Linked DNA regions of Struthio camelus. The protein of the gene in region 4 interacts with the protein of the main gene of each other region in a pairwise test. Links are inferred from orthologs where the notes say so. Each region holds a gene or a part of one and is shown on either strand. Other genes may lie near its edges. The genes, in order: SOS1, TNKS, SPTBN1 and SH3BP5.

Evidence for each region.
Region 1: the proteins of SH3BP5 (region 4) and SOS1 interact in a two-hybrid assay, tested with the Homo sapiens proteins (2 studies listed by BioGRID and IntAct). The link is inferred for Struthio camelus from reciprocal best matches to the Homo sapiens genes SH3BP5 and SOS1.
Region 2: the proteins of SH3BP5 (region 4) and TNKS interact in a two-hybrid assay, tested with the Homo sapiens proteins (2 studies listed by BioGRID and IntAct). The link is inferred for Struthio camelus from reciprocal best matches to the Homo sapiens genes SH3BP5 and TNKS.
Region 3: the proteins of SH3BP5 (region 4) and SPTBN1 interact in a two-hybrid assay, tested with the Homo sapiens proteins (2 studies listed by BioGRID and IntAct). The link is inferred for Struthio camelus from reciprocal best matches to the Homo sapiens genes SH3BP5 and SPTBN1.

Annotation. Positions count from the first base shown.
Region 1 is NC_090944.1:139,621,819-139,628,654, reverse strand, and holds the start of SOS1 (son of sevenless homolog 1), read right to left. Parts: upstream 3,005-6,836; 5' UTR 2,939-3,004; coding exon 2,852-2,938; intron 2,492-2,851; exon of another isoform or gene 1,508-2,491; coding exon of another isoform or gene 1,487-1,507; intron 49-1,486; exon of another isoform or gene 1-48.
Region 2 is NC_090945.1:3,094,073-3,101,473, reverse strand, and holds the start of TNKS (poly [ADP-ribose] polymerase tankyrase-1), read right to left. Parts: upstream 3,020-7,401; 5' UTR 2,986-3,019; coding exon 2,478-2,985; intron 1-2,477. Other genes in the region: MFHAS1 (malignant fibrous histiocytoma-amplified sequence 1), read left to right, coding at 4,608-7,401.
Region 3 is NC_090944.1:119,317,409-119,325,214, forward strand, and holds the start of SPTBN1 (spectrin beta chain, non-erythrocytic 1), read right to left. Parts: upstream 3,012-7,806; 5' UTR 2,918-3,011; exon of another isoform or gene 2,875-2,917; intron 2,629-2,874; exon of another isoform or gene 2,516-2,628; intron 2,286-2,515; exon of another isoform or gene 2,057-2,285; intron 1-2,056. UniProt on the Homo sapiens protein: Fodrin, which seems to be involved in secretion, interacts with calmodulin in a calcium-dependent manner and is thus candidate for the calcium-dependent movement of the cytoskeleton at the membrane.
Region 4 is NC_090943.1:48,870,455-48,877,634, forward strand, and holds the start of SH3BP5 (SH3 domain-binding protein 5), read left to right. Parts: upstream 1-4,177; 5' UTR 4,178-4,543; intron 4,544-4,618; coding exon of another isoform or gene 4,619-4,721; exon of another isoform or gene 4,722-4,907; intron 4,908-6,366; 5' UTR 6,367-6,469; coding exon 6,470-6,751; intron 6,752-7,180. Other genes in the region: EAF1 (ELL-associated factor 1), read right to left, coding at 729-823, 4,619-4,721. UniProt on the Homo sapiens protein: Functions as a guanine nucleotide exchange factor (GEF) with specificity for RAB11A and RAB25. Inhibits the auto- and transphosphorylation activity of BTK. Plays a negative regulatory role in BTK-related cytoplasmic signaling in B-cells.

The DNA.
Region 1 (6,836 bases), on a different chromosome or scaffold from region 4:
TCCTAATTGAGTGCACTGGAGTCTATCTTGACAGCATCTGAAGGAGAACTGGAGAAAAGGGATTACATTATGATCTGAATGGTACAAGAGCTGCTTTTTGTGAATGCAGCTGTTCCATGCAAACACAGTGCATTACAGAGCCTATTGTTAAGGTCAATATCTAATGAAAGACAAGGCATACTTTCCTAAAATTCACTGATGTAGGAAGGGATTTGTTCTTGCAACATATTCTGTTTTGTGTTGTTTCATAAAAACATGGAATCAGAACAACTCCTTGGGAAAAATACATATTTTCAATGGTTTAACAACACGCGGCTTGTAAGCAATTGATTCTGGGGCTATAATTTAGACTCAACACAACAAGCCTACTCAAAGTTACAAAAGGGTAATGGCAGTTTAACGATTCAGTCCACATGTGGTAGTTCTCCCCAGTGGCTGGGAACACTCCATCCTGGTGTACATACTTTGGCAACATTAAATCAAAATGCTGCTCTCCTAATCAGAGATACCACTTTGATCACAAAGACAGGCCTTTCCAAATTGTCAAGTCTCATTTCCAAATACACAGGAAAGCTTCACAACCCCGTTTGCAGATCTAACTGGCTTTAAGGGAGAGTTCAGAAAGCTACTTGCTGTCACTACCTGAGACCGAGTATCAGGATCTGGCCAGCTAACTGGGAGTCATGAGGAAAAAGCTCTCCACTAGTAACCACGGGATGCTCCTGAGCTTCAGCTAATCTGACTCTGACTGCGACAGCTTACCCTAGCAACTTAGCAGAAAAAGGCACAAGGCACCATGTTTCCCTCCAGGCTAGTTCTGCCCTTTGACCCTGCTGGCATATGCTGCCACGTTCTCTTTTTTACCAGCTGCACACACTGACGTCTAGCTATACGCTCGGCCTATAGCACAGCAAAGGGTCAATGTCTCAAGCCCACTGGTTGCAAAGCTGCAATATCATCTCTGTTTTCTGAGCAATTCAATGATAAAGAAGATAGTCAAAGCAAGCATGTTGTATTTTTGATGGCTTTACCTGCCAATTATGTTCATAACTTTACAGGGCCCGTCAGGATTAAACACTCTAGCTACGACCACGTGTACCCACGCAAGCTCGTAAAATACTCTGTTTGGCTTTTCCATTAGCTTTAATGTTTTCATCTGCCATTTAAGTATCGAGTAACTAGAGTATCCAGCTGTTCAGCAAGGTAGATGGCAATATGGACAGATGCTTCATTTCTACATTTGCAGGGACAGGAACAGTAAGCAAAGAGGACTATGATTCTGGAGCACACTGGACTACAGCCTGGGAGCAGATAAGAAACAGGTGGTGACCTCATGAAGAGCTGAGGTTAGAAGAGTTAACATCTGCCACACAGTTGCAAGTTTGAGTGTAGAAGAGTCTTCAGTAGTAACTCCACATCACTCCTGCCATCCCTCTGCACACAACAAGAAACAGAGCATAACACAGTGAAATCAAGACCACCATACCTTGCTTGGCCGGTTTGTCATCCTTCCTAACTGGTCATCGTTGGCCTTCTCTGATTGTTGACTTCCGACTCCAGAATTCCTTGTCTCCTTTTCCCCAAAGCGTTCATCCAGCTCCTTCGGTGAGGATCTTCAATCCAGGGCGGCTTCACGAATGGTTTGTCCACTGGGATGAAAACTAGTGCTTCACATGTAGCAAGTAATTCCAAAGTCTTAACTCATATTTGCCTTTGGATCCTCGCTCTCTTCCTCCAGCATTTAGCACTGAGCTTCATTCCAAACTTGATGAACCTCTGGGTGGGGGAATAACCCACCCGCCACAAAAGCAAGCTCTCAGGGGTTCAGACCTCGGTAGCTCCAGGTTCCAACCAAGCTTCCGCCGGCTGGCTGCCCAAGCGCTTAAAAGCGCCATAAGAAGCAGGGTTTGCCTGGGTCATACGGTCAGCCCAGAAGTTTAGTTTCAAAAAAGTGACTAATGATCAGGGATAAGACATTTGACAGCTTAGCCTACGGATGAGACAAGTAAGAGGACTTCCAAGAACTGGATGAAACCACACAGTGCAGGAGATCTCAAAGAGCATGCCCAGAAAAACGTGAGGCAACACATCGCAAGAGGAAATTGGGAAGAAATACTGAACGGGTACAACAGCAACACTCGAGACTTCCAGTCCGCGCTGGGGAACCCAACGCTTCAGCTAGCCCTGGGCGCGCAGGAGTCGAAGTTAATCACCATAACCAAACAGACTCGTAAAACGCTGCTGCGTATGACTAAAAAGCGTTGACCGAGTCCAGCGATCTGAGGCCGGTTCGAGCCGGAGCGTCTGAAGCTTAATCTTAAGCCTTCTACTTTCTGAACTCTGGCGGCAGAGGCGGAAAAGGAGCCCCGACGATTTTTTCCTCTCCTCCCGATCAACTCTTTCCACGCCGCAGCCATCACCTTCACCACCCTCCCGAGGGAGCAGGGCTCCCTAGCCCGCTCCCACGACGCCTCCTCAGCGGGAAGCACGTACACCGAGACAGGCTTTAACGAAAAAAAAGCCATTTAACCCGTACACTGATTAAACCAAAAATCCTCTCAGGAGGATTTCCCCTCCCCAACTCGCCGTCTCACCGGTAAACCCGCGCTAGGGGACGAGGCGCCCGGCCCGGCGATGCTCGGCGGGCACCGGCCGGCGCGGCGAGGGAAGGCGCTTCCGGAGCGCGCAGAGCCCTGGCGGCGGCGGCGGCGGCACCAGGCCCCGCCAGGCGGCTCCGCCGGCTCGGCCGCCCAGGCGCCGCGCCCGGGGCGGCCTCGCCTCGCCGCGCCGCTCCCCTCCCAGGCCGCCGCCGGCGCGGCCCGGCGAGCCCCCCCCCGCCGCCCCCGCTCACCTTCTTCAGGGCGGGCACCAGCAGCCCCCGCCACTTGGGCGCGTTCTCCTCGCTGAAGAACTCGTAGGCGAGCGGCTGCGCCTGCATGGCGGCGGCGGCGGCGGCGGCCCCCCCCCGGCGGCGCGGGCTCCTCAGAGCGAGGCGCGGCGGCGGCGCCCCCCCACCACCACCACCACCGCCGCGGCCGCCGCCGCCGCGGCCGCCGCCGGCAGGCCACCAGCGGCGGGGGGGGGAGGCGGCTGCCGCATTCCCCTCCGCCCGGCTCTCGGCGGTCGCCCCCGCGGCGGGGGGGGGGGGGGAAGGGAGAGGGGGGGAGGAGGGCGGCGGGGTCACGCGGCGCGGCCGGCGGGCCGCGAGGGGCGGGGTCGGCCGCGGGGGAGCAGCGCCGCCGCTCTGCGCTCCGCGCGCCCCTTCCTCGCCCGCACGGCTGGCGGCCACGGCGCAGGCGCGGCGGCGGCGGCGGCGGCGGCGTCCCCCCCCCTCCGCCCCGCCCCGCCCCGCGCATGCGCCGCGGCGACGCGTGGTCGCGCTCCGCCGCCCGCCTCCCCCCCCTCCCATCCCCTGCGCGCGCCCCCTGCGGGCGGGCAGCCGTTAACGGCCGCGCGGGCCGGGCCGAGCCGAGCCCCCGCCGCGAGAGGACGGGCTCGGGCGCTGAGGTGAAACCGCTCAAACACCGCTCGCCCGCGCCGGCAGCGCTGCCCGAAGCGGCCGCGGCGCCGGGGAGGAGAGACGGGAAGGGAGCGACGGTGAGGGCCGCGCTCCGCAGCCCTGTGAGGCGCTGAGGGGCGCCTGCCTCCCCTCCGCCCCTCTGCCGGCGAGCGGCAGTTCGCAGGGATCGTTACTAACGTCCCCGAGGCAGCCCATGTCCTCACAAGCCTTCCTTGCCCCGGTGGCTTCGAGCACGCGGAGACGTAGCCGGCGGTGAGGCGGTGCGACGCCTGCCCGGGGACTTCTGTCTCTGACGCGTCCAGTCATCTCGCATGTGGACAGAGATCACAGGTAAATGAACACCCTGTTAAAGCAGCGCAAGAACAGCTGTAAGGGCGAAAAGTGAGCTTGGTTCTTGGCGGAAAGCACCACAAAGTCCACAGTGGTCAGTGGGGTCCGATAGGCAGGATGGAGGGAGGGATGATGCTGGAGAGGAGAAGTTTTTGCTCTGTTTCGCAAGGTGCGGGGGCCCAAGGGCCGGAAGAGGCAATAGTTAGGTGCTGTTAGGGAGCACAGAGAGCAAGAGGGATAGGAAAGATGTATGATCACTGAAAGGAAGGCTTAGGACCAGCTTTCTAGTGGGGAGGAGGGTGAAGTACCCACACAGAGTGCTTCGGAGAGACTGCGGAGTCTTCCTTCGTCTCAAGGACTGGTTAGACAAACATCTATCAGGAATGGCATGCGTGTTGGGAGGCTTGGCTAATTAATGTTTGTGAAGCACTCTGGGGACAGGAGACGTTCTTGAGGAGCTAAGCAGTACTTTGGCAGGTAATGTATTTAGCCTCTCAGAAAGAGCTATCTTTACCCCTCAGCCCTGCCTCGGGCATTTTTCCTCTACACAGGTACTCCTGTCTGAAGGAGTCAGACTTCTGCTTTGAACATGCTGGAAGAGGGATGAAAGGAGGGAAATTTCACATCTCAGAGCTATTATTTTGGCCTGCCAGGCTGCCTGCAGATTCAGGAACACTCAGTCTCAGCATCTGATAGACGGGGAAGATGCTGTACTCATTACCTTATGGTGAAAAATCTGTCTGTCAGAGCTTAAATCCTGAAGCATTATGCTTCAGGAGCTCCTGAATATGCATAACGCTGGGTGTAAAATCGCACCAGCGCTCTGCTTTCCAGCCCCTCTCTTTGGAGGTGATGGTCAGATGGTGTCAGGGCTGTGTTCTGAGACCCCCTGAGTACCAGTGAATGGCCTACAATATCTCTTCCACTCCCACAAAAGAGCATCGGATAACGTAAGATTTCAGGCGCTGTATTCGCAGTTGGTTCAAATGTTCGGTAAGGCCACAGGACACCCTGTGACTCTGAGCTATCAGCACTCAGCCCCCCCCCCCCCCCCCCCCCCGTATTTAGCCTTCTTGCTCCTGCCTTTCAATGCCTTTATGCCCACTTCAAAATCCCTTTTTAAAGACACTGAGGACCTGGACAGGAAGGAAATGCTGTCTTCCATCTGAGGACCGAGTATTGCCTAAGTGGTCATGACTTGGGCTGTTGGTGAAAGCCTAGGGTTGCTTGGTTGGCTTTTTACACAAATTCAAGGCTTCCCTTCTGACACAGCCATTTTCCACAGCGGGGCTAGGACCCTGCCATGCCCAGCCCAGTCCAGCATGGACCATGAGCCCCCCATGCCTGGGGGGGCCCTGGGTTTGTCGATGTGGACAAGGCACTCCAGGTTCCTCACTGGCCACTTGTTCTCTGCCTAACTGCAGACACTCTGTGTGCTGTATGGGAGTGTGCGGTTTCACTTGTGAAGCAACTTAACAAGTTGCAACTATCGCTATGGCTGTCTGGGGAGCTGTTGCTTCACCGAACATGGCAAAATTAAACCAGCATCTAAGGCAGGATGGGAAAAATCCCACCTATCAGTTGAACGTGACTGAGAGCAATAGATGTTGTTCGCTTACCAGTTGCAGTCCCAGACCTCTGGATTCGTGGCCCAGCATCCATGGAGGGCAGCAGAGGCAGCCAAAGTGCAATCAGGTGCAGGTGCTGCTGGTTACTGGATATAAACATGTGCGTTGCTACAGGCAGGGTGCCTAAGGACCTGGAGGGAGGATTGCAGCCTTCCTGGCATTCACTATGGAGCAGGCTATTGCAGGAAAGTGCATGGAGTTAAAAGCTAGGAGCTGCTGAGGGACTTAATAACAGAGGGGTCAAAGCACAAGGGGAAGGAGAAAGCTTGGTGGCAAGGGGAGATGCAGGCAGCCTGGCAGCAGGACGACCTGCCCTTACACCGAGAGAGGCAAAGCTGAGGCTGATCGCTCTTGCTGTCATCACAGCAGAAATGAAAGGCTGCAGCCAGTGTGGTGGTGGCTTGCAGGCTGTCTGTGGTGTATGACGTGCATGGGCAGGATGGGGACATTTGGGATGCCCAGGGCTGCTGCCAGAGGGAGAGGAGGACAAGCTGGAGGGGCACAGCAGCCCTTTGCCATACTCTCCTCTGAGGGCTGGAAGAGCAGCCGGGGCTTACGGTCAGTGACAGCACCCCTCCTGACTGAGCAACTGCCAGTGGGGGATAGGAGGGGATGCCACCAGGAGTGACTGACAGGGGCTGAAGACATACACTTGTGTTTGGACTGCAGGACGCTGCTGGGAGTAGCTGCCGGTCAGATATCAGAACAAAGGAAGGGGGACCTGAATGATGTTGAATTTAAATTAGCTCCAACTAGCTAATTAGGGGGAACGTCTGCACCCAAAGAGGTGTTCCCCAAGGAGGGAAGGAGACAGTGATGCAGCCATATCATAGAGGATGATGCTGGGAAGCAGACAAGCTAACTGCTTTCTCCAGCATCGCTGTCCACAATGGAAGCTTGAGAGCCCACCAGGGCCTGCCTTGGCCTGCCCCTCTCCAGACATGTGTCCCCTCACAGCTCCCTCTGCACCCCTCAATACAGGCCTGGAACATGGCTCCCTATAATCCATGTTTTAGATCAATCTGGACTGTTTCCTCGAAGGGAGGCAAGAGGTTTAGGCACATTCCCTGTTTTTATCAGCTTCTTTTCAGCCCTTTTACATAGAGCCCTTTAAAACCCAGCAGGGCACTGCTAAAGCCAAAGCCTGTGATGAGGCAAGAAAGTCACCCTGCCTGTGCCCAGTGCCTCAGCCTGGTGGTTGCATGCATCCCCACCGCTGCCCAGAGACCTCTTGGTGCCCCCAGCCCAGGGCACATGGAGTCTGATCTCGGGGTCATGATTGCAAAGCTGTAAGGAACAAGTAGGTAGCAACAAGGGTGTCACCTTGCAATGCTCTTGCTTTCAGTTGATGCCGGTGG
Region 2 (7,401 bases), on a different chromosome or scaffold from region 4:
ACAGTTAAACTCTAAAACATTGGCACACTGCATTCTTCAACTCCTGTTCCTCTTATAAGAGGGGCCAAACAATTTGTAAAGTTAGCTATGACTCATAAAATTGTGCTATTACACATAACACTGCTTAATACACATAGCAGACTCCTATGCTTGTAAGCAAAGGGGTTTTATTTCTCCTTTTGTCCACAAAGGGGAAGGAGATCCTATCAATGTATTGCATCACTTGCAACTACATACTGCCTAAGACCAGCTGCATTCAAACTTGTTTACAGGCCTTTTCAAAATTTAGGACCTCAGTCTTTCTCTAATAAGAAATCTATCTAATGCTATTAGATGTCAAACTCATTTCAGTCAGATACATGCTTCATTAATTTCTGAGAGAATACGCTTGGCAGCTAAGGAAAGTCTTTAAATCTACAAAAATAGAGAACAAACAGTCTTATTAGGTATAAGAAATTCACCTGCTGTGTTCCTCATGCTACAAGGAAGCATCTTCCATTGCTATTACAGTAAAATCGCACCAACACTCTTGCCTTTCAAAGCCTTAGGTTTTGTCAGCTCCTTCTCTAACCAAAGTTCAGGTTTTAAGTGAAATTAATATTGTACCACTACAGGACCAGCACTACAGTTTGTACTAGTCTACCACTGAAGTTATAACTTGAAATTTTAGCACTTAAGGGTAAGAAGCGGGGTCTAATTTTAAGCTGGAATCCAAAGTGAGCTGATGTGAGATGAGGCCTCCAAAACATTAAGCACTTTGTGCACATGCATGCAGTTGTGCCAGCATCACCTCCCAGGGCTCACTGAAATTAAGTAGGCCTGCACATTTCAGTATTTATTGGTAGAGCTCAGGGATTAGAGGAGATGCAAATGGCTCAAGACCAGTACTTCCCATAGAGCCACCACGAGATGCCACTTTGACTTTGGAAATGACAACAGACCTACACAAACACAGAGATAAACTGAACAGCACTACCTGGAGTCCCAAGCAACGCTGTGTCAGATAAATGCTTATTTTTGTAACTGATTTCCATGTGGTGCTTTAGAGCCATACACCAGCATTCAAATATTGAACATAGAATAAAGCCTGAGTAAAGGCTTCAGCAACTTCTGTTTCTCTTTCATATTGGCTATTGTGCTGCTTATCTGACAAGGGTTACTGGAGCATGTTCCGAGTTGTAGAACGGGATCCAGAACTCTACTGTCAATATTAAAGAGCTCCAGCTTGTGGTGCCAAGTCAGGAAAATTAAAATAGCAACCACTCTGTCAGCCAGGAGCAGGCCAGTAAGCATGGCACATCAGCAGGAGTAGGTCAGGGCATCCCATAGCCACTGGCCTACTTACAAGCTCAGACAAGATCCGTGCCCCGCTGGATGGTATCAAGGCAATCTGTATCATTGTGGCATTTGTCAGAAAGACTTCAATCTGACCACGGACCTAGCAACCGTGCAAGTCCTGACTTCAACTATTTTCCCCATTTTACTGTTATCACGGGCTTCACTCCCCCTGTGCCTCTAGCCATGGCCAGCCCCCCACAAAACGCTCTCTTTATAGACTATACTAAGGGGTAGTAGCTATGCTTGGTAGGAGACAATGTTCATTTGCAATTGAGGTCAGTCACTGAATCTCACTTTTGACTTATTTTATGACAGTGACTATTTCTGGTCACAATATCATCTCTTCCCCACACTGAGAGGCATATTGTCTCCTGGACACAGCTGTAACCTCCCACTGAGTTCAGCTGTTCCACTTCACCTCTTTCCCCAGCCCGCTCAAACCACAACAGAGGCAGAGATCAATCCGTAGCTACACTGAGATAACAGGAAAAAAAGCAAAACCAAAAAACACACACACACACACACCAGTCAAAACACAAAAATGCATTGACTTTGATTCCTAGTAAGCCTACCTGCATCACAGGGTTCCTTGACTTTCAAGAGCTACTGCAATACAAGTGAAAACCTTAAATCCAAACCAACTCTGCCCTGAGTTCCAGAAACATAGTGACATCAGTTGCTCACTTGCTAAGCCCACATGCTGAAGTCAGCAACTTGTGGGGCCAATACAGGGAGTTATTTTAGTACTTTTAGATTATACGGCTTCCCTCATGCCCCCACAGGCTCTCCTTTCCCCCTCTTCTCACCCAAAGGGATGATCCTCTGCCCGTTTTGGGGACGGGGGAGAAGGAGAGAGAGGGGTTTAACAGCCATCTACTCCCGCACCCAGCATTAGTGAAACGGCACCAGGAAAAGCGCCCTCGCGCTCCTCCTCTCCCAGGAACGAGCTTGCGCCCCCGCGACCCCCCGGGACGCTGGAGATGCGCTCCCTGCTGCGCCCACCCAGCAGGTGGGTGCGAGAGGGGCCGCGGGAGGCGCCGGTGCAGGACGCCGAGGCACCGGCTCTCCCTGCTCCGCCGGGAACGGGAGGCCGGGCCGACCCCGGCGCCCTCGCCTCGCCCAGCGGCCCCGGCACTCACCGGCAGCGAAGTGGAGCGGCGTGGACTTGCGGCCCGCCATGTCTTTGGCGTTCACGTTGCCCGTGTCCACCAGGCGCTTCACGCGCGTCACGTCCCCATTGCGGCAGGCCTCCAGCAGCTCGCGGAAGGCGCCACTCGCCGCCCCCAGGCCCGCCGCCTCGGGGCTCTCCACCGCCGGGCTCGACGCGGCCGACGACGACGCCGACGAGGAGGAGGAGGACGACGACGAGCTGCCGGAGCTGCTGGCCGAGCCCGGCGGCGGGCCCGGGGCGGCGGCGGCGCCCGCGCCCTCCGCGCTCTCCGGGGCTGGAGGCCGCTCGGCCTCGGAGGGCGCCTCGCCCTCAGGGCCGGCCAGGCTGTGCCGCTGCGCGGCGGGGGCGAGCTCGGCGGGCGCCAAGCTAGGGCTGCGCGGCGGCGAGGCGGCGGCGGCCGGCGGCGAGGCCGGCCCAGGCGGCGGCGGCAGGTGGTGGTGGTGATGGTGGTGCTGGGAGCGACGCGGCGCCGCCATTTTTCGCCCTTCCTCTACCGCCCCCCTCCCCGCCTCCCTCTCAGCCCTCGTCACTGCGGCAACGGCGGCAACGCCCGCCCACGCTTCCGCCCCCCCCCCCAGCCAATCCCCGCGGGCGGCGCCCGGACGTGACGACAGGGGTGCTGGGGCGGGGCGGGGCTTTCGCGGGCTCCACCCCCTGCCGGGGCCGCGGCTAGCGCCCGCCTTCCGAGCAGCTCGGGGCGCGCGGCTGCCGGCACGCGCCGCCGGGGGGCGAAGGGGGGGGGGGTGCCTGGCTGCGCGCGCCCCCCTCCCCCCCCCGCTGCACGCGCGGCCCTCGCACATTGCCCAGCCCTGGCCCACCTGCCTCTTCGCACACTCACCCCCAACCTTGACTTCTTGCACGCTCATCCAGGCCTTGACCCTTGCACACTCACCCCCAGCCCTGGCCCACCTGCTTCCTTGCGCACCCCCAGCCTTGACCCCTTGCACATTCACCTCCAGTCCTGGCATGCCTGCGCCTCGCACACTCATCCAGGCCTTGACTCCTTGCACACTCACCCCCAGCCTTGACCCCTTGCACGTTCACCCTCAGCCCTGGCATGCCTGCGCCTTGCATGCTCCCCCCCCGCCAAGGGCTGGAGGATCCAGCCTGACACATTCCCACCTGGGCAGCAGGGCGGGAATCCAGCATTGCTGTCGAAAAGACGTTTGGTCTGAGATTTTGAGCAGAACGAGTCAGTCCTCCTCGTCCCCTACCCCAAAGCCGCCTTCCAAAGAGAAACCAACTAGCGGCCTGGAGAGTGAGTACTTGGCAAAGACCTCATGAGCTCTGGGCTCGTTAGGGCCTGGGAGGTCCTCTGAGTAACGAGCAGGTCTGAAGTGGTACGGGAATAGCGGGCGGGGGCTTTCAGCAAGCAAAGCCCAGAATCGGGCTTTACACCACCTTTGGTAACTCGAGGTCTTTCTCCGGCCCCCGGAGGGCTGCGCTGCAGATAGAAATCTTATTACTAATGCAGCTGCCTGGCTCAGTAAAGCGAGGGAACCTCAGGCTTCAGATGAATAATTAAAAACCCCGTCAACAGGCCTTTGCAGGGCCATCATCTAAAATTAGTAACTCCGAGCGCAATTCTGGGTGTATAACGCAATCCGCAGCAATGGGATCCGTTTCTTCCCTCCTTTTTCCCCCCCTGCCCCAATGCCACGCACTCTTGGCCGTTTGACAGCCTTCGCTTCAGCTGCTGAGAACGAGGGGAAGGGTCTGGGGTGATCCCCGAACGTTTTCGGGCTCCGGCACCGCTTGCACCAGCACCGACCCGTCGCTCAAGCACAAGCCCGGCCCGGAGAAAGCGGGGCCGGGAGGGGGCGGGGCGAGAAGGGGGCGGGGTGGGCGGGGCGAGAAGGGGGCGGGGTGGGCGGGGCGAGAAGGGGGCGGGGCGAGAAGGAGGCGGGGCGAGAAGGAGGCGGGGCGAGGGCGGGAGAGGGGCGGAGCGAGAGCGCGGCGGGGCCCCGCCCCCGGCGGCGGCGGCTACGTGCGCGGCCGGCAGCGGCGCGGCGGGAGCCCGCAGCCCGCCGCGGCGGCGGCGGCGGCGCCGCGCCCATGGCGAGCGGCGGCGGCAGGTAGGGCAGGGCGCGGCGCGGCCATGGCGCAGACGGAGCCGGCGGAGGCGGCGCGGCCGTGGCGCGGCGGTGCCGCCGCCCTGCTCGCGCGGAAGCTGCGCGGCGGCGGCGGCGGCGAGCCCGAGCCCGAGCCGGACGCGGGGCCGCCGGGGGGGCCGCCGCCTCCTCCCGCCGCCCGCCCCCCTCCCGCCGCGGCGGCGGCAGCGCTGGGCGAGCTGGAGGCGCTGAACCTGAGCGGGCGCGGGCTGGAGGAGCTGCCCGAGGAGGTGGGCGCCGCCCTGGGCGGGCTGCGGGCGCTGAGCCTGCGGCGCAACCGGCTGCGCCGCCTGCCCGCCGCCGCCCTGCGCCACCTGGGCCGCCTGGCCGAGCTGGACCTCAGCCACAACCGGCTGCGGGGCCTGGGCGACGGCGCGGCGCTGGCGGGGCTGCGGGGCCTGCGCAAGCTCAGCCTCAGCCACAACGAGCTGGGCGCCGAGGGGCCCGGCCTGCCGCCGCGCCTGGCCGAGCTGGGCCGCCTCGAGGAGCTCGACCTCAGCTTCAACCGCCTGCGCCGCCTGCCCGAGGGGCTGGGCCGCCTGCGGCACCTCCGCACCCTCGACGTCGACCACAACCTGCTGCCCGCCTTCCCTGCCCCGCTGCTGGAGCTGGCCGCCCTCGAGGAGCTCGACTGCTCCGGCAACCGCCACCTCGGGGCTCTGCCCGAGGGCATCGCCGCCCTCCGCCATCTCAAGATCCTCTGGCTGAGCGGCACCGGGCTGGCGACCCTGCCCGAGGGCCTCTGCCAGCTGGGTGCCCTCGAGAGCCTCATGCTGGACGGCAACCGGCTGCGGGCTCTGCCCGCCGGCTTTGGCAGCCTGCAGCGCCTCAAGATGCTGAACCTCTCCTCCAACCTTTTGGGGGAGTTCCCTGCCGCCGTGCTGGCCCTGCCCGGCCTGGAGGAGCTCTACCTGAGCCGCAACCAGCTCACCCTGCTGCCCCCTGGCCTCTGTCAGCTCCGCCAGCTCCGCACCCTCTGGCTGGACAACAACCGCATCCGCTACCTGCCTGACTCCATCGTGCTCCTCCACAGCCTGGAGGAGCTGGTGCTGCAAGGCAACCAGATCGCCATCCTGCCCGAGGGCTTTGGGCAACTGTCCCGCGTCACCCTGTGGAAGATCAAGGACAACCCCCTCATCCAGCCCCCGTATGAGGTGTGCATGAAGGGCATCCCTTACATCGCGGCCTACCAGCAGGAGCTGGCCAACTCCCAGCCTGCCCTCAAGCCCCGCCTCAAGCTGGTCCTCATGGGCCTGAAGGATGCGGGCAAGACCTTGCTGAGACGGTGCCTCATGGAGGAGGACAGGCAGAGGGAGGACGCGGGAGGTCCGGAGTCAGGGAGTGCCCAGCCCAGAGGCTACCCTGGTCAGCAGCGAGATGCTGGTAGAGTGCCGGTTGGGTGCTGCCCCTTCCCGCAGCCTCCGGACACCTCCTCAACGCGGGTACCTGCCATGCAGCAGCTGGAGCAGCTCCCTGTTGAGCGGCGGGATGTCCCCCATGCGCCTTCTCGCAGAGTGCAGGGGGAAACACTGTGCCCGGCGCCATCACTGCCACCGGACGCCTTCCAAGCGCCATCAGGAGCGGGACTGCCAGGAGGCAGCAAGGGCATTGAGGTGATGGACTGGACAGCGGATGCTGAGAGGGGTCTGACATTCATTGTGTATGAGCTAGCGGGGGACCCGAGCTACGATGTGATCCAATCTTTCTTCCTCTCCCCCGGGGCCTTGTATGTGCTGGTAGTGAATTTGAGTGCCTACGTCCCTCAGCACTTCTACCGCTCTGTGGGCTACTTCTTGCACTGGCTTGGTTCTAAGGTGCCCCATGCTGTGGTGTGCATGGTGGGAACCCATGCCGACCTCTGCGCCGAGCGGGAGCTGGAGGAGAAGTGCCTGGACATCCATCACCAGATTGCTCTGCAGGAGAAACGGGATGCTGAGGGACTCCAGAGCTTGGTCCAGCAGGTGGATGAGGCTCTGGGACAGGACTTTGACCTGCGCTGCTCCAGCCCGCACGCCACCTTCTACGGGGTCTCGGACAAGAACTTGCGGCGGAAGAAAGCCCAGTTTCAGTATCTTCTGAACCACCGCCCACAGATTCTCTCCCCGGTGCTGCCCTTCAGCTGCCGGGACCGTTGCCAGGTGCGTCGCTTGCGGGACAAACTCCTCTCAGTGGCCGAGCACCGGGACATCTTCCCAAACCTGCACCGAGTGTTGCCCAAATCCTGGCAAGTGCTGGAGGAGCTGCATTTCCAGCCGCAGGCTCAGCAGCTGTGGCTCAGCTGGTGGGACTCTGCCCGGCTGGGCTTGCAGGCGGGCCTGACGGAGGATCGGCTCCAGAGTGCCCTGTCCTACCTCCACGAGAGTGGGAAGCTGCTCTACTTTGAGGAGCACCTCACACTGCGGGAGTACGTGTTCCACAACCTGCCGCGGCTCATCGATATCCTCAACGTCTTCTGCCAGCGGGATGCCACTGTGCTGCTCCAGAAGTTGCTCAGCGACACCCACATCGATGAGCTGAGGGCCACCCAGCTCCATCACTATGTGGAGGGCTTCTTGTTGCATGGCCTCCTCCCTGCCCACATTATCCGCCTGCTTCTCAAGCCCCACATCCAGAGCCGGGAAGACCTGCAGCTCATTCTGGAGCTGCTGGAGAAGATGGGCCTCTGCTACTGTGTCAACAAGCCCAAATGCAAACCCCTGAACGGGGCGGCTGCCTGGTACAAGTTCCCTTGCTATGTGAAGAACGAGGTGCCCCATGCAGAGGCGTGGATTAACGGCGCCA
Region 3 (7,806 bases), on a different chromosome or scaffold from region 4:
CTTTCCCAGAGTCGTGAAATGGCGAGCAGGAGGCCTGCGGTCAGAGATACCAGCCTGGATTGGATTTAGGAGCTGACTCATGGGTAATAGGCAATGATAAATTGTGCTACCGGTTTTTAACTTGTGCCCAGATCAGATGACTCAGGAATTTAGGTGCCTGTAGAGATTAACTGTCTAAATACCTGTCACAGTCTGACCCTTAAAAATCTGAATAAATAGATTATTGTCATTCATGTTCCATAAAATATGCCCATATATTCCTCGCAAACAAAATACAACACTTATTATGCAAGTAATCCAACCACAAAATTAAATCCTGTAACTGACCCATATTAAAAACAAATCCTTAGTCAGGTGATGTAATATAAACGAGCATTACATTGTCCATCCAATAAATGGTGCTTAATGGATGAGATTTTATATACGTTGGAGATAAAACAGATTTGTTTTTATAAAACGGTTTGGTTGTCTACTTGAAAGGGGCTGTCTGAAAGCCATGCAGCAGTGTGCCGGTCTCCCTACACGTAGCACGAATGCCTTGCCATCTCCCTGGTCCTCTTCTGCGTGCAGGCAGAGTGCAGCAATGCACAGCAATTCCAAAAGCTGCAGGATTTGTGCCACTATAGAGGTGAAACAGCATCTGTAATGCTTTTTGCCACATAACTGCTGCAAGCTCCTATTTCATCCAAAAATGCTGCATCTTGCCTTGCTGAATACCATTTACTGCACTTAACCCGCACTACAGAAAAACACAAAAAGGACCGGTAGTCTATAGCCTGACCGTATTTTTAGTACCAAGTTTGCACTATAGTATGAAGCAACAAAACATGCACCTTAGAAAAATTTTATTTCCTATTTGTTTTATTTCTGGCCAATCTAGCACCACTGGTTGTGACACATTAGCCAGCCAGCCAGCTCCTCTGCACACTCCCCATAGCCGTACAGCCACTGCTAAGTCATGTAGGCATCACAACAGCCATTTCTGCTTTAGGAAGAAATAGCTTTAGTGAGGAAAAAAAAGCAAACAACAATGGATGAAACAATACCTCAGAGAGAGCAGCTAGTTGCCATCACCAACCAGTTCTGGCTCTTTATCCCCATATCCTTTTCATCTCCTATCTCTCCCTCCAGAGGCTTCCTACTATATGCAAGTCCTCCTTCCAGCTGGGCTTTTCTGCAATGGCCTGAGGTGTCACAGTCTCCCATGGCATTTTCACATGGCTGATATTTCTTTGAATAAATTACTCAACACGACCAGGCTTTATAATCCTTAGGACCCAGGAGCATTGTTCCCCAAGAGGTCTTTCAGGACAATACATTCAAAGGTCAGAAAGAATAACAGTAATTTTTCTAAACTAGCTACATAGTTCAATAAGCAAGTTTCATAGTATTTCTACCCTGGCAATAAAGGACGAAGGCTGTGCCGAATGCTCCAAATCCTCACAGTTCATGTTCATTCCCACTTACAATAACCTTACGCTCTCGATACTGAGTATTTAGCATTTTTACCTATGGCCAGCACTGAGTAAAATCTCAAAACATAGATCGCTTCTCGACTCACCTCCTGTGAATAAGAAAGAAAATTTTGCTCACGCTTAAAGATATTAAAACAACAAATTCCGTTTTTCACTCTTTTTCCCTTGTGCATTTCAAGATCAACAGAACCAGCCTGAAAGGAGGGCTAGCTAAAGAACAGGTCGGACCCCAGTGCCATGAGCAAGGGATTTTTCAGAGCGACTGCAGTCTCACAGTACCTAGCACAAGTCTGCCATTTTTTTTTTTCGGTTAAGCCCGGCCTATATCCATCAGCAAGAGCTACCTAGCAGAGATAATGATATCAAGCCCACGCACTACGCCTTTTATCACTGCGGATTTATAAAACCGGCCACCGAAGCAACGCACCCGCTCACCGCGGGACGCGAGCGGGACCCCGCCGCGGCGCTGCGCGCCAGCCCCGCGCTCGCCCAGCACAAAGCGCCGCAGTGGCCAGCGACCTGACAGCGCCGCCGGCCACCACGGTGCCGCAAACGCCGCCCCGCTCCGCCCCGCTCCGCACCGTGCCGCGCCGCTCCGCTCCGGCCACCGCCTCCGCTCCGAGCGCACCGCCGTAGCACAGAAAAAGAAAAAAAAATCTACACCACCCCCAAAAAAATTTTTTTAAAGAAATAAAATAAAATAAAATAAAAAACTGGAGAGCCTGGCGGCCCCGCGCCACAGCGCGCCCGCGCCTCTCCGCACCGCGGCGGGGCGTGCGGCTGCGCGGCGGCACTGCGCGGGGAAGGGGAGGGGGGCGCAGGGGCGGCGGCCCGGGGGGAGGCCGGGCCGGGCCGGGCCGGGGCCGCCGCCGCAGAGCGGGGCGGTGCCGGGGGCGAGGAGGAGGAGGAGGAGGAGGAGGGGAGGAAGGCCGCGGCGGGGCCGCTACCCGCGGCGAAGGCGGGGGGGGGGGGCGCCGCCCGGTGTCTCTCTCTCTCTCACACGCACACACCCGCCCGCCCGCCACCCCGTCCCTCCCTACCTCTCCGCGGCCGGGCGGCGGCTCTCCCCGGGCGGCGGCGGCACCCGCGCTACCCGCGCTGCGCTGCGCTGCGCCGCGCTGCGCCCGGCCGCGGCGGCTGCGAGGGGCGGGACGGCGGGCGGGGACGGCGGCGGCGGCGGGGGGGGGGGCGCGGCGGTGCCGCCCAGCCCGGCCCGGCCCGGCCCTGCGGAGGCTGCGAGCGGCCGCCGCCGCCGCGCAGGGACCTGCAGGTGCCGCCGGCGGCGCCCCCCAGGTCCCCCCCACCGGCCCCGGCGCCCCCCGGGTTCCCCCCCCCCCCCCGACCCCGTCCGGCCTTCCCACCCCGCGGCTCCTCGCGCGAAATTATCCTTGGATTTTACCCCGGCGCTGCCCGCTGCTCCCCGCTCCTTCCCTGGCGCTTACTGCGTTGCGGGGGTCTCCCCAGACTTCACGCTCCTCCTCCTCTGACACCCTCTCCTATCGCAAGGACAATGTTGGCTCTCCCCCAGCATCCGTTTCCGCTAGTGCTGCTCTTCTGCTGCTCTGTCATTCCCAGTGGACATCCCATCCTGGGCTTGACTTCCTCCCCTGCACAGTCATCCTCTCCCGCTTTGCTTCTGCCACCCTCCCAGGGAAACAGCTCGCCTTTGCCAGGGTAACCGCGTGCCCTGAAACTCCATCCCCGCCGCCCTTCTGCCACGCATCCCCTCTTCCTCCCTCTCTGGGCAGCATTTTGCCAACATCTTTCCAGAGAAAATGGCTCACATACAATGTGCCTTTCCCCTGCTCGGCTCCCCTCCCCGCCCCATGCAACTCTTCTCCAGCCAGTCCAGAGGTAGACATTTCTGCTCCACGTTTCCTTCGCTAAGCCTAGCCCCTTTGTTTGCTTGCACGTCCTCAGCCTCTTTGTGCCCATCCTCGTCCCCCCTCGCTCACAATGCGGCTACGGCCTAGGGTTTTCCACCTTTAAAACACCATGCTTGGTTTCATCTGCCTCCCCAGCTGTCATTGTCTCCTCTCCCGCTTCTCAGCTCCACGTTCACGCTCTTTAACTGCTATCTGGAGTTCCCTTCCTCTGACTCTATCTTAAACTTTCTCTTATCTGGCTCTTACCCTTCACACTCAACTACTTTGCCAAAGTTCCTAATATCTGCTTCCTGGCCTAATCTCTGGAACATTGCTTCATTTCCATCCTGTCAAAATTATCAGCCTGGCTCTTTTTGATATTTTGTTCTCCTTTGGCTTCGGAGCCTGCCTCCCCCAGAGCCTCTTCCTTACCCCTCCCTTCAGTGCATCCTCTCATACTCCCAATGTCCAGCGGGAGTCTTAAGGGAAGCTTAGTTTGTGCTTCCCTCTGCACCTGACTGTTGGGTAAGCTCACCCTGAGGTGCAAATTCAGTAACAGTCTCTCTGTGGACAACGTGTGGATCTACCTTTCCAGGCTTGTTATCGTCTGCCGAAATTAAAATCTTATCCTGTCCTTCTGACACCTTGTGGATGGTAAACCATTAATTCACCACGTAGAAAAGAGAGCTCCTAAGCTGTAACCACATACAGGCCTCTAAGTTATCTGCGACCTGAGCAGATAGTACCATCACACTTCCCACTCAGGTCGCTGGTCTGGACACCATCATTCCCCGACTTCCCTCTTCCGGGCTAGGTCCAGAGCATTACCTTTCGCTATCCAGCCAGATGGCCAACTCTCTCCTCGAGACTGTCATCACCTCACTTCTCAGTTGCTACCACAGCCTTTTCTGCAGCCTTGCCTACCTAAACTGGCTGGGTAGATGAGGGCAGAGCAGTGGATGTTGTCTCCCTGGACTTCAGCAAGGCTTTTGACACTATCTCCCATCACATCCTCACAGGTAAGCTCAGGAAGTGTGGGCTAGACGAGTGGACAGTGAGGTGGCTTGAGAACTGGCTGGATGGCCGAGCTCAGAGGGTTGTGGTGAATGGTGCAGAGTCAAGTTGGAGGCCTGTGGCCAGTGGTGTCCCCCAGGGGTCAGTCCTGGGTCCGGTCTTGTTCAATATATTCATCAATGACCTGGAGGAAGGGACAGAGTGCACCCTCAGCAAGTTTGCTGATGATACTAAACTGGGGGGAGAGGCTAACACACCAGAAGGCTGTGCTGCCATTCAGAGGGACCTGGACAGGCTGGAGAGGTGGGCGGAGAGGAACCTCCTGAAGTTCAACAAAGGCAAGTGCAAGGTCCTGCACCTAGGCAGGAATAATCCCATGCCCCAGTACAGGCTGGGGGTTGACCTGCTGGAAAGTAGCTCTGCAGAGAAGGACCTGGGAGTGCTGGTGGACAACAAGTTAAACATGAGCCAGCAGTGTGCCCTTGTGGCCAAGAAGGCCAATGGGATCCTGGGGTGCATTAGGCAGAGTGTTGCCAGCGGGTCGAGGGAGGTGATCCTGCCCCTCTCCTCAGCCCTGGGGAGGCCTCACCTGGAGTACTGTGTCCAGTTCTGGGCTCCCCAGTCCAAGAGAGACATGGCACTCCTGGAGAGAGTCCAGCGGAGGGCTACCAAGATGATTAGAGGGCTGGAGCACCTCTCCTAGGAAGAAAGACTGCAAGAGCTGGGCCTGTTCAGCCTGGAGAAGAGAAGATTGAGAGGGGATCTCATCAACGTGTACAAGTATCTGAAGGGGGAATGTCAAGAGGATGAGGCCAGCCTCTTCTCCGTGGTGCCCAGCAACGGGACAAGCGGCAATGGGCAGAAACTGAACCACAGGAAGTTCCATCTGAACCTGAGGAAAAACTTCTTCACTGTGAGGGTGACAGAGCATTGGAACAGGTTGCCCCGAGAGGTGGTGGAGTCTCCTTCCCTGGAGATATTCAAAAGCCGTCTGGATGTGATCCTGGGCAATATGCTCTAGGTGACCCTGCTTGAGCAGGGAGGTTGGACTAGATGATCTCCAGAGGTCCCTTCCAACCTAAACGATTCTGTGATTCTGTAAACTCACTCTGAATGCTGCTGCAAGTTCATTTTCCTCATCTGTCGTTTTGAACAGGCCAACGTTTCTCTGCATCCCTCCGGTGGTCTCGCTTCTCAGTTAGATCAGGCGTAAGCTGCTAAGCTACACTTTCATCTCCCCCTGTACCTGTATATCTGTTCAGCACCAGCTCCTATCTTTCACTTTTCCAGAGTATGAACCACTATCAGACAACTAACTTCATGCCTTCTGCCATTTCTCCATCCCTCCAACTTAGAAAAAGTTGCGTTCAAAAATTCTCCTTAAAATGCTCTTTTGTCATGAAGCCTTCAAGAGCCTTGACAAGCGTTGCGCTTGTACTTCCCTGTCTGTTGCCTGCATTAGTTCACCCCTAATTCTTGGGGCACAGTAGAAGGTAAGCAGCTATGGGGCAGCCCAGCTCCCCTTCCCCTTGTCTTGCTCCTCCGTTGTACTGGTTCTGGTGTAAAACCTAATTCAACAGCAACAAAAAAGTAGTTCTGGTTTAGTGAGCTGAGCTGGCTTGTGAGGGGACCAGAAGAAAGTCTGGATCTGCTCTGGGAGCAGCAGGACAAGAGGGGAGCAGGGTCTCCTCTTTTGGTGGCAGCAAACAGATCAGCTCAGTTACCTTGTTTAACAGCACCTTTAGATTGTAAACTGCCTAATACAGGGACCATTTTTGTGTTCTTTATTTGTATAGCGTCGCCCACAATGAGAGTCCACGATTAGAGCTTCTGAATAGATACTAGAAGGTGCCTGCTTCTGCGTCATGCAAATGGAGGTAGAATGAGCTTGTTTTCTTTAACAACTAATAATCCAAGACATTGGATTCGTAAACATTACGGTAACCAAGGACAAGACAATCACTTTTAAAAGTTGTATCCACAGAGAAAAGAAAGAAACACAAAAGAGAACCGTTCTTCCCTTCCTGAACTTCCCCAGATAGTGGTACAGAAATTAGCTGGAATAGCTGCAGGATTAAGAGATTGCTCCAGATGAACAGGTTGACTAAATCTGGCCCAAATAACATGAAAAGTTCAGTAGAGTTTCTGAATTGTGTGGCCTATATGCTCAAATATTTTACCAAGCAGAATTTCCACTAGCTTAAGCGGAGTTTTGCTCTTGGAAAAAGTTGAATAATTTGGCTATGGACAATGAAAACCAGCAAGTGCCTAAGTATGCATTGACTTTCAGATTTCAAGCTCTGAAGGATAAATCTCTGTAGATTTTTGATCCAGCATGAATACTGCTTTTACTTCAGCCATCAGCAACATTCAGAGAACTAAATAATGTATGTTGTCCACTAGCCATGTTAGAGCAGGAGTTGACTCAAGACTAGCTTGTAACTCAGTTGCCTTTCAGCAAAGCAAGGCAACATCTTTGAGCAATGGGGCATTTCTAGTACATGGATATCATATTATTAAGCTGACCACAATTCAGTTAGGGCACTGGTTCTCTATTTATGGCTAATTTTTATAAGATTAGATGGGGTAAGATTAATATCATGAAAATATATTTGTACATTTTATCTGGGTTGGCCGTATCACCTAACCAGGCTTTTTTTGTGAACCTCATTATTTGGATTTTGTTCAGTAATTTAGAAAGCAAAGGTCTTAGCCAGTAAGTCTTTGGTATGACTTGTAACAAAAAGCAGATCAAACTCACTAAGTATATGTGACAAAGCTTTGCTACTCTGCTAACAAGTTGCTTAAGTTTTAGTAGAGTTTTAGAAATTAATTAACGTTGCATTCCAGACACACGCGCACATGCGCGCACACACATATAATTGTTTGAGTGCCAGGATTTTAAGAAACATCAGGAAAAAAAAAATCATCCTTCACTCAACTATTAATATATCTCAAACAAGTAGGCAGGAAAAAGATTGTAATACAGGGGAGAGAGTGGGCAAGAGCATCCAGCATATTTTAAGATTCTGGCTTTCTAACCCACATAGCTCAAAGAGGGGTGGGCCATGGATTATCATGGAAATAACTGGGTGGGAATGAATGCCTGAGAGAGGCAGGAACCAGAATAGCAGGAGTATTGTGGGCTCTAGCCAGTTATCCCAGTTACTGACAGTCATTTTCTTCTTTTTAAAGAGCCCGCATTTTGTAAAGAATGTGGCAGCTACATATGTTTTGCCACAGATTTTTAAAATTAGCATCTTCGGGTTTGGTAGAGAGGATGTTTTTTCACTAGAGTACGACCACAAATATTTGTTAATGTTTTCAGTGCGAACCTTCCGCTTGCTGGGTTCAAAAGCCAAAACCTGCAACTTTGTGACAATTAATGAGGGAATACTTACAAGTTAAAACGCCAGCCCTTCATAATACCAACAAGTAAAGTCAGTTAGACA
Region 4 (7,180 bases):
TGGGTTCACAGGCTTGACACACAGCACTAGCTTCTGCTAATAAACAAATCCAGTTCCAGAATGCAATCACTTTCTTTTGTTTTGGTAAGGAAATCACTGATCCTTCAATTACAAAACAGCTGCAGCTATGGACAGTTTGATCACTTCTTTATTGCTGTTTGACCATCATCTTTGCACAGTAGACCTTTACAGCATAATTTGAGGAGGAAGTGGACAGACGCTTCACTGCCACTAGCTACAAAACTCTTTCCAGCTTCCACTGATAAACCCCAGGGCAAGGAACAATCTATACCATTTGTACACACTTTAGTAACGGAAAGCACAGACTTAAAGGCCTACCTGTGGCTTCTGAACACCAAATCTTGACTCAACTCAAAACTACTCTGCCTTTCCTCCTTAAGACACAGCACTAAAAACGAATGAAAACTAGGTACAGACTTTGGGCTAATAGTAAAGTCTTCTTGTTTGTCAAAGAACAGGGGAAAGGAAGGAATCAAATGCAAAGAAAAGATTGGAACCTCCCAGGTATAAGCCTTTATAAAGGCTCGGCTGGCCTTTCCTAAGGTAACACATTACAGTTCTGGCAGCTTGAATATTGAACCCATTTGTTTTAACAAAGAGGAAAGTGAAAATTACATTTACAGTAGATTGCACCTACACAGCAACTACTTGTAAATTTGTTAGAGAGCAAACAGGGAAACATACACTATAACATACAACATACTTACTGGAATATGTGGTAAGGTGATTGTTACTTCATCTCCTTTACCAACTTGGAGCTCCCCTTCACAAGACGTATCGATCGATGCTGGTTTAAAATCATCTAAAGAGGAAAATAATTTGGATTCTATTCATGTGAAACTGTTTCTTAGAGCCTTCATAATTCATCCTCCCCTGTAAAAAGTCACTGCACGTTTACTGTGATATAGGGAACATTAAAATACACGTTAGCGCTTACAGCAGGGGTAGAATAACATACCAGCACAATGTGCCTATGCTCAGAGCTCCAGTCACATGACAATATCAGATTCTAAATTTACTTTTTAAAATGGAAGTAACTTTCTAGACCTTTGTGTGTGCAAGACCAAAAGCAGGCTTCTCCCAACGACGTCAGTACAGCGACACTTGATTTTGCAGATTTTGTAAAACTGTTCCATGCATCTCAAAAGAGTATTAACGGCAAGCCCCAGTGCCCTGTATGGGTCTTGCCACTTCCAACCCAGAGGATACTTCTGTTCGTGACAAAGAATAACTTAGCGAGGCCATCCCAGTTAGCCTCACTGATATTTCTGACAGCCTTTGATAACAGCCTTTTTGCCTCCGCACCTCCACCTCAAGCGCAGAGCAGCTCTTAAACCCCACCTGTGAGGGGGAAAACAGAGGTGCTGGTCTTATTTCACCACGCTTCATGCTAGGACAAAAACACTGTGAATAGAGAGCACAACTAAGGCAAGACACTGGGATAGCTATAAGCTGCCCCTAGTGTTTTTGGTGCCTTGTACAGAACACTCTGTCCCTCAAGCAATACACTTTTGTTTACTGTATTTAGTTGAACTAAGAACATTTTAACTTCAAAGTATTTTCCCCTCAATTACTCAGCTGCGATGAGCCATAAAAACCAGAACAAATGACCAGAACACATAACATTTTGACAGAGAATTTAGACAAAGCGAAATAATATCAGATAGATATGGATATAGGATTTTTTTTTTTAAAACAAGCATCCATTAAATCCTAGCATCTCAGAATACAAAGAGGTGCAATTACATTCACAACCAAGACTTTTAATTATTGCATTAGTTAAGACACTAACATCTCAGAACAAATTTAAAATGTAATTCCACTAGGAAAAGCACGTTTGCAGGAAAAAAACAGCTTTGTAGCAAATTCTCATTAGGAGGACATTAATGTCTAATTGAGTTTTACTTTGACAGCACAACAAGCAAAATCAGGCACACTTGACTTAATCCTCATGCCTTAACTGCCAGACCAAATCATATCCTTGGTTTTCATCTGACCAATCTATTTCTAGCTATTGTTTCCCATCTACTTCATGTGCAAGTTTGCTAAATAGAACATAAGCTCGCTGTAGAAAGGCTAGGGTCTTTGCCAAAAAGGGATCACAACTTTCAACAGCGCAGTCACTAAATGAAAAGCAAAATATCACTAACGTGCTTCTTTCTTGGATATTAACAAAATATAGAGTTATTCCAAGCAAACACTCAAACAATAAATTGTTTTCTTTTTGTATCTACTTGGCTAATTTTCCTGTAGACGGAGGGCAAACATGTCCACCTAAACGTAGCTGCAGTCCTTTTTCCAAAAGTCAAGTTTCTTTAGATGTGTTTTCCATGGATAATCCAGTTTTTCAGTTCGGAATTTCATAAACATTGCAGAAAAAGATGAGGTATTTTAAGGAGCAAGAGACAAATTTAGCCTGCAAAATCCTCTTACTGTAGTTTGTATGAAGAGGATTAGGGGAACACTATGATGCTCAGATCCTAGACTAATCATTTAAAATCAAGAGTTAGAAGAAAAAGTTATAATCAGCAAAGCGAAAGAGATCTCACTTGAAAGTCACTGACTACAAATACAGCACACAGAAAGCTCTTTGAAAATAAAACTGGATTTTTCCGGTTGTAGTCTGAAGTGTTCTGGCTTTGCAGTCCCTTAAGAAATTGATTACTGAAGACCCTTCAGTCCTAGAAATCCAAAGTATTATCTGGACATGACCTAGGTTTAATTCATATGCTATCAGACAGCAACCTCATTTGTTTGATGGTTGGGCTATTTTAAAACTTTGATTTATAAGTGAAGATTTACTACTGTGCCAGTGCTGAATAAAACTAATGGTATTATGAATAAACAGTAAAATATATCACACACATGCTACGGCCTTCTTTAGCATCATGGGGTTATGTAAGTGTAATAGAGGGGTGAACCACACAAAACTTAAGTGTTAATCTGCGGGAGAGAGTTTACTATCTAGGGAAACAGCTTCTCTGTAAACACTGATCCTCTGCTTGGATAATAGCTCAGTCTAGAAAATTGTTCTTTCAAGCCTCACTCAGGTGACTAATCTCACTGAAATTATTTACTCATAGTGTATGAAAGCAGGCTATGAAACCAGGCCTAGGAGTATACATCATACAACAAAAAATCCTGCTGTTAATAGTATAAATTCTCCACACTAATACAAAGATACTAAAATACAGTTTCACTATAATTCTCGTCTCCTGTTGCTGATTAACTACTAATTTTAAATGTTTAGAAAAAGTAATGAAAATGAAAAAGCAATTTCTTGTCTACAGCATTCAAATACAGAGATACAGGTGATCTCCTCTTCCAGGAGGAGATCCTCTAATATGATATAAAATGTATTCCACGCTAGAAAACAGCAGTTGAAAAAGACGTTTGGTGTCTTAGAAAAATACATTTTTCCAGCTCCTCCAAAGCAAAATTACTGCTCGAGACCTTGCCTCAGCATTTATCTTATGCTTATTACCACTTGTTAGGCAATACTGCATGCGTTGGAATCATTTCTGCTTGCCTTCCTGGAAAGTGACTTACAATAGACCTTGAGAGTCAACAGAGCCGGGGAAAAAGTTGCTGGGTTACATGGTGCCTCATTACGGCAACAATCAGTTAAATTGAATCGGCTGCAGACAAGCTGTACTCCTTTCCCGACACTCCTGCCCACCCAGAAGAAGCCAGACCAGGGCCTGTGGTGACCTGTAACACCAGGCCCATAAGAAAATGGAAAGCCTTCCCTTTGAGGAGGAGGAGGCTTTATGCTCTTAAACGATTCACGTGCACTTCACGAACAACTCCAGAGCCCCTTTGTCTTCTGCAGTCTGCCTCGTTCACACTTTTGCTCTACTAGAGGGGGCCGCGCGAGGAGACCCGCTCTCCCAGCACGTCTGTTTGTAAACGCTTCCAGCGCAGCCCTGGCCGGCTCTCCGTTGCCCTCCCCCTGCCCCCTCGCTGCTCGGGCTGCAGCCACAGAGCCAGAGGGCGAAAACGGGCCCTGGGGGGGACACGGGGGCTAGTTGGGGGGGGGGGGCAGGGAAGAGAGGATATAGGTCGCTGAGGGGGAAGGAATGGGCTCTAGGGGGAACGATGGACTCTGAAGGGGCAGCAGGGGCGGGAATAGGCGCTGAGGTAAGGACTGGGGAGGGGGGGAAGGAGGGCTGAGGAGGGCAGTAGGGGCGGGAAGGAGGGAGAGACGGGCGCTGAGGAGGGACGATGTCGGAAGCCGGCGCGGCATGAGGGGTGGCAGCCGGCCGGGGGCAAGCCCCACGGGGGGTAGGGGAGCCTCGTCCCCCCCGCGGGGAGGCAGGGCCGAGGCGGCGGCCTCGGGAGCGGGGTTGCGGGGGGGGGCGGCTCCGAGGCAGGGCCGGGCACCCCCCGCCATGTCGGGGAGGCGCTGGCCACCCCCCCCCCCCCGCCATTTCGGGGAAGGCAGCGAAGGGCGGCAGGAGCTAGAAGGGACGGCGGGGCCCGGGGAGGAAGGTATCGCGGCGGAGGGCGAGCTGCCGGGCAGGTAACGTGTGTGTGTGTGTATGTATATGTCCCCCCCCAACCACCACCCCGGGCGGGAAGGGGCGGGGGCGCTCACAGCGGATGGTGTGGAAGGAGGCCTTGGGCCGGCGCTCGAAGCTCTCGCCCAGCTGCAGCGGGTGCTCCTCCTTGTCCAGTAGCGGGTTCGCCGAGCCGTTCATGGCCCCGCTGCCGTGCCGTGCCGTGCCGTGTCCTGCGCCGCCCGTCCCTTCCTCTCCTCCGCCCGCTGCGTGCGCGGCCGCCCCGCGCCCTTCCGGGCCCTGAGTGCAGCCGCGAAAGTGCTCCGGGGCCGAGCCGAGCCGTCTCGTCCCGTCCCGTCCCCTCTCCCCACAGGGCACCGAGGGCAGGTGGGCGCCGTTGGGGGGGCACGCAGGGGGTCTGGCCCCGTGTGGGGCGCCCTCCCCCCCCCCCGCAGCGGGGTCTGGCCGCCCCTCGCGGCGTGGGGCGGGGGGGAGCGGGGGCTGCGCGGTGCTAACGGCTGCTAACGGCTGCTGGGGGGGTTGCGGGGCGGGCGACCGTTATCGTCGTGTCAGCTCTTTGGTTTCTGTCTAACACAGGGGTCTTTCCAGACGTAAAGGGGGCAATTTAAACGGGTCATTTCCCCCCCCCCCACTCCCCTCTCTAGCTTGTCTTACCCCAAAAAACCCCGCACGCGTTGATTTGATGCGTGCCAGGCGCACAGCAGAACCTTTTTGCTGCTGAAACTTCTCTTTTTGTTTTTTTTCTTTCTTTCTTTGAGGATATACCTTCAAGAAAAAATCAAAATATTACATATTTTGAGGAAAAGCCTGTGTCTTTAGTAGATTTTCCTTCTTCAAGGGAGTCTCATCGCTGTTGGCCTTTCCCAGCCTTCCTGCGGGCAAGCGGCGTGTGGTCTGGCTCCTGTGAAGCTGGGCACAACGGGCCCGCTTCCTCGTTTCCCGCCGTTCCCGCGTTTGTGTGTTGTGTTTGCACTGTTACGTTTGTACTAACCAAGATAAAATAGCGGAATGAAGTACTGCTCGTTGTTGTTGTTCTTTTTTGTTTTGCTGAAGGGTAGAAGTTGTTGTTTTTCCTCATTTCCGTTTCTGTGAAGCGGCACGAATGCCCAGTCCTGGGCACTGATGGACGTGGATGGGCGCGTTTTGGCCTGCCAGGGGTTTCAGGGGAGTTACTGGGTCACGCGGGATTTAATTCACGTACGCCGTCTGGGTGTTTGTGGCAAGGCAGAGCTCAGAGCTAGTTTAACGTTAGGGAAATGACTTGAATCCTTTCCTGGCCTCCATAAAGGTGTTTTTATTGCCTCATTTTTGTTAACTTCTGAAAAAAACATACCCGTCATTGTTCAAACTGCTGTGAATCCTCAGGAAGAGGCAGTGGAAGGAGTGCGAGCTCAGGAGAAATGTTAAGGTGAATATGGTTTTCTTTGCCAACTGAAACGGGACTCTTAAAAGGTGTGCCCCCTGCTTTTCAGTTGTGAGCTTTCTGAGGTGTTACTAACCAGAGTTACAAAGCCCGTGTTTTCCTTTTCTAGTCGATTTTAGTGCAAATAAACTTAGAGCTGCATCATCTCTCTCTGGTTGGGTAGTTTTCTATGATACGTGTGGAAGACCAGCAGAATTTGTCCCCTGTGTTCTTTGAGATCAGTGTAGTGTCTTACCTGGTGCTTAGCTTTGAAGGAGGATTTCTGAAAATAAGAGAAGCAAGTCTGGTGGTTTTGCGGTCTGTTATGTAGGGCAGATCACCATAAAACCTCCGAAAGTGCATACAAAAACTAACTATCTCCCTCTCTCTCTCTCTCTCTCTCTTTCTCTTTTGTGCTTTTAGATCCTTGGTTATTTACCAAAATTAAGTGATGGAAACATATATATGCTAAAAAAAAAATCACTGTTGGGGCTTTGGTATTCACATCTCTGTGAAATACTCTAGGATGTTCCATGAAAACCCACCAGCCGATTGCTTAAATTTAATAATTACATCTACTGAAGCTGATGCTTTCCAAAAAAAAGGCCATAGTGCAAGGATCCTTAGCCCCGAAGAAGCTGAGAGACTGGCAAAAGATAAGGTTTTGGTGACTGATTTCAAACAACTAAAATTGGAGAAAGAGGCACAGAAGAACTGGGATCTATTTTACAAAAGAAACAGCACCAACTTCTTCAAAGACAGACACTGGACAACCAGAGAGTTTCAAGAGTTAAAAGCATGTCGGGAGGTGAGCTGAATACACCTATCTATAAGTAAAGAGATATGATTCATTGTTTTCAAATGATGTAGTAATATTTCTAACAAAGCCATTAAGGTGAGAGCTCTCACGTTTTAAGTGTGTAGTGCTTTGTGTAGTGTAGTCTCTTTTAATGTCAAAGATATCTCCTCAGGATCAGTTTAGTTTCAGTTTATAATTCTTTCATATTGTATATGGAGAACCAAATCTGGAATATTTATTTTGCATCTGCACAGAGAGACAAGTTGTCTATTTAGGACGCAAGTTACAGCACTTAAAACACTGTTTTAAAGAAAGCATCCAGAACTACAGGCTAATTGCAAAATATCCTTAAGGGGAATAGTCAGATGCATCTGTTGCTCATTCTATCTGGATGAGACACAAGACAGCAATAGTACAACAATCTGTTAATTAAGTGGG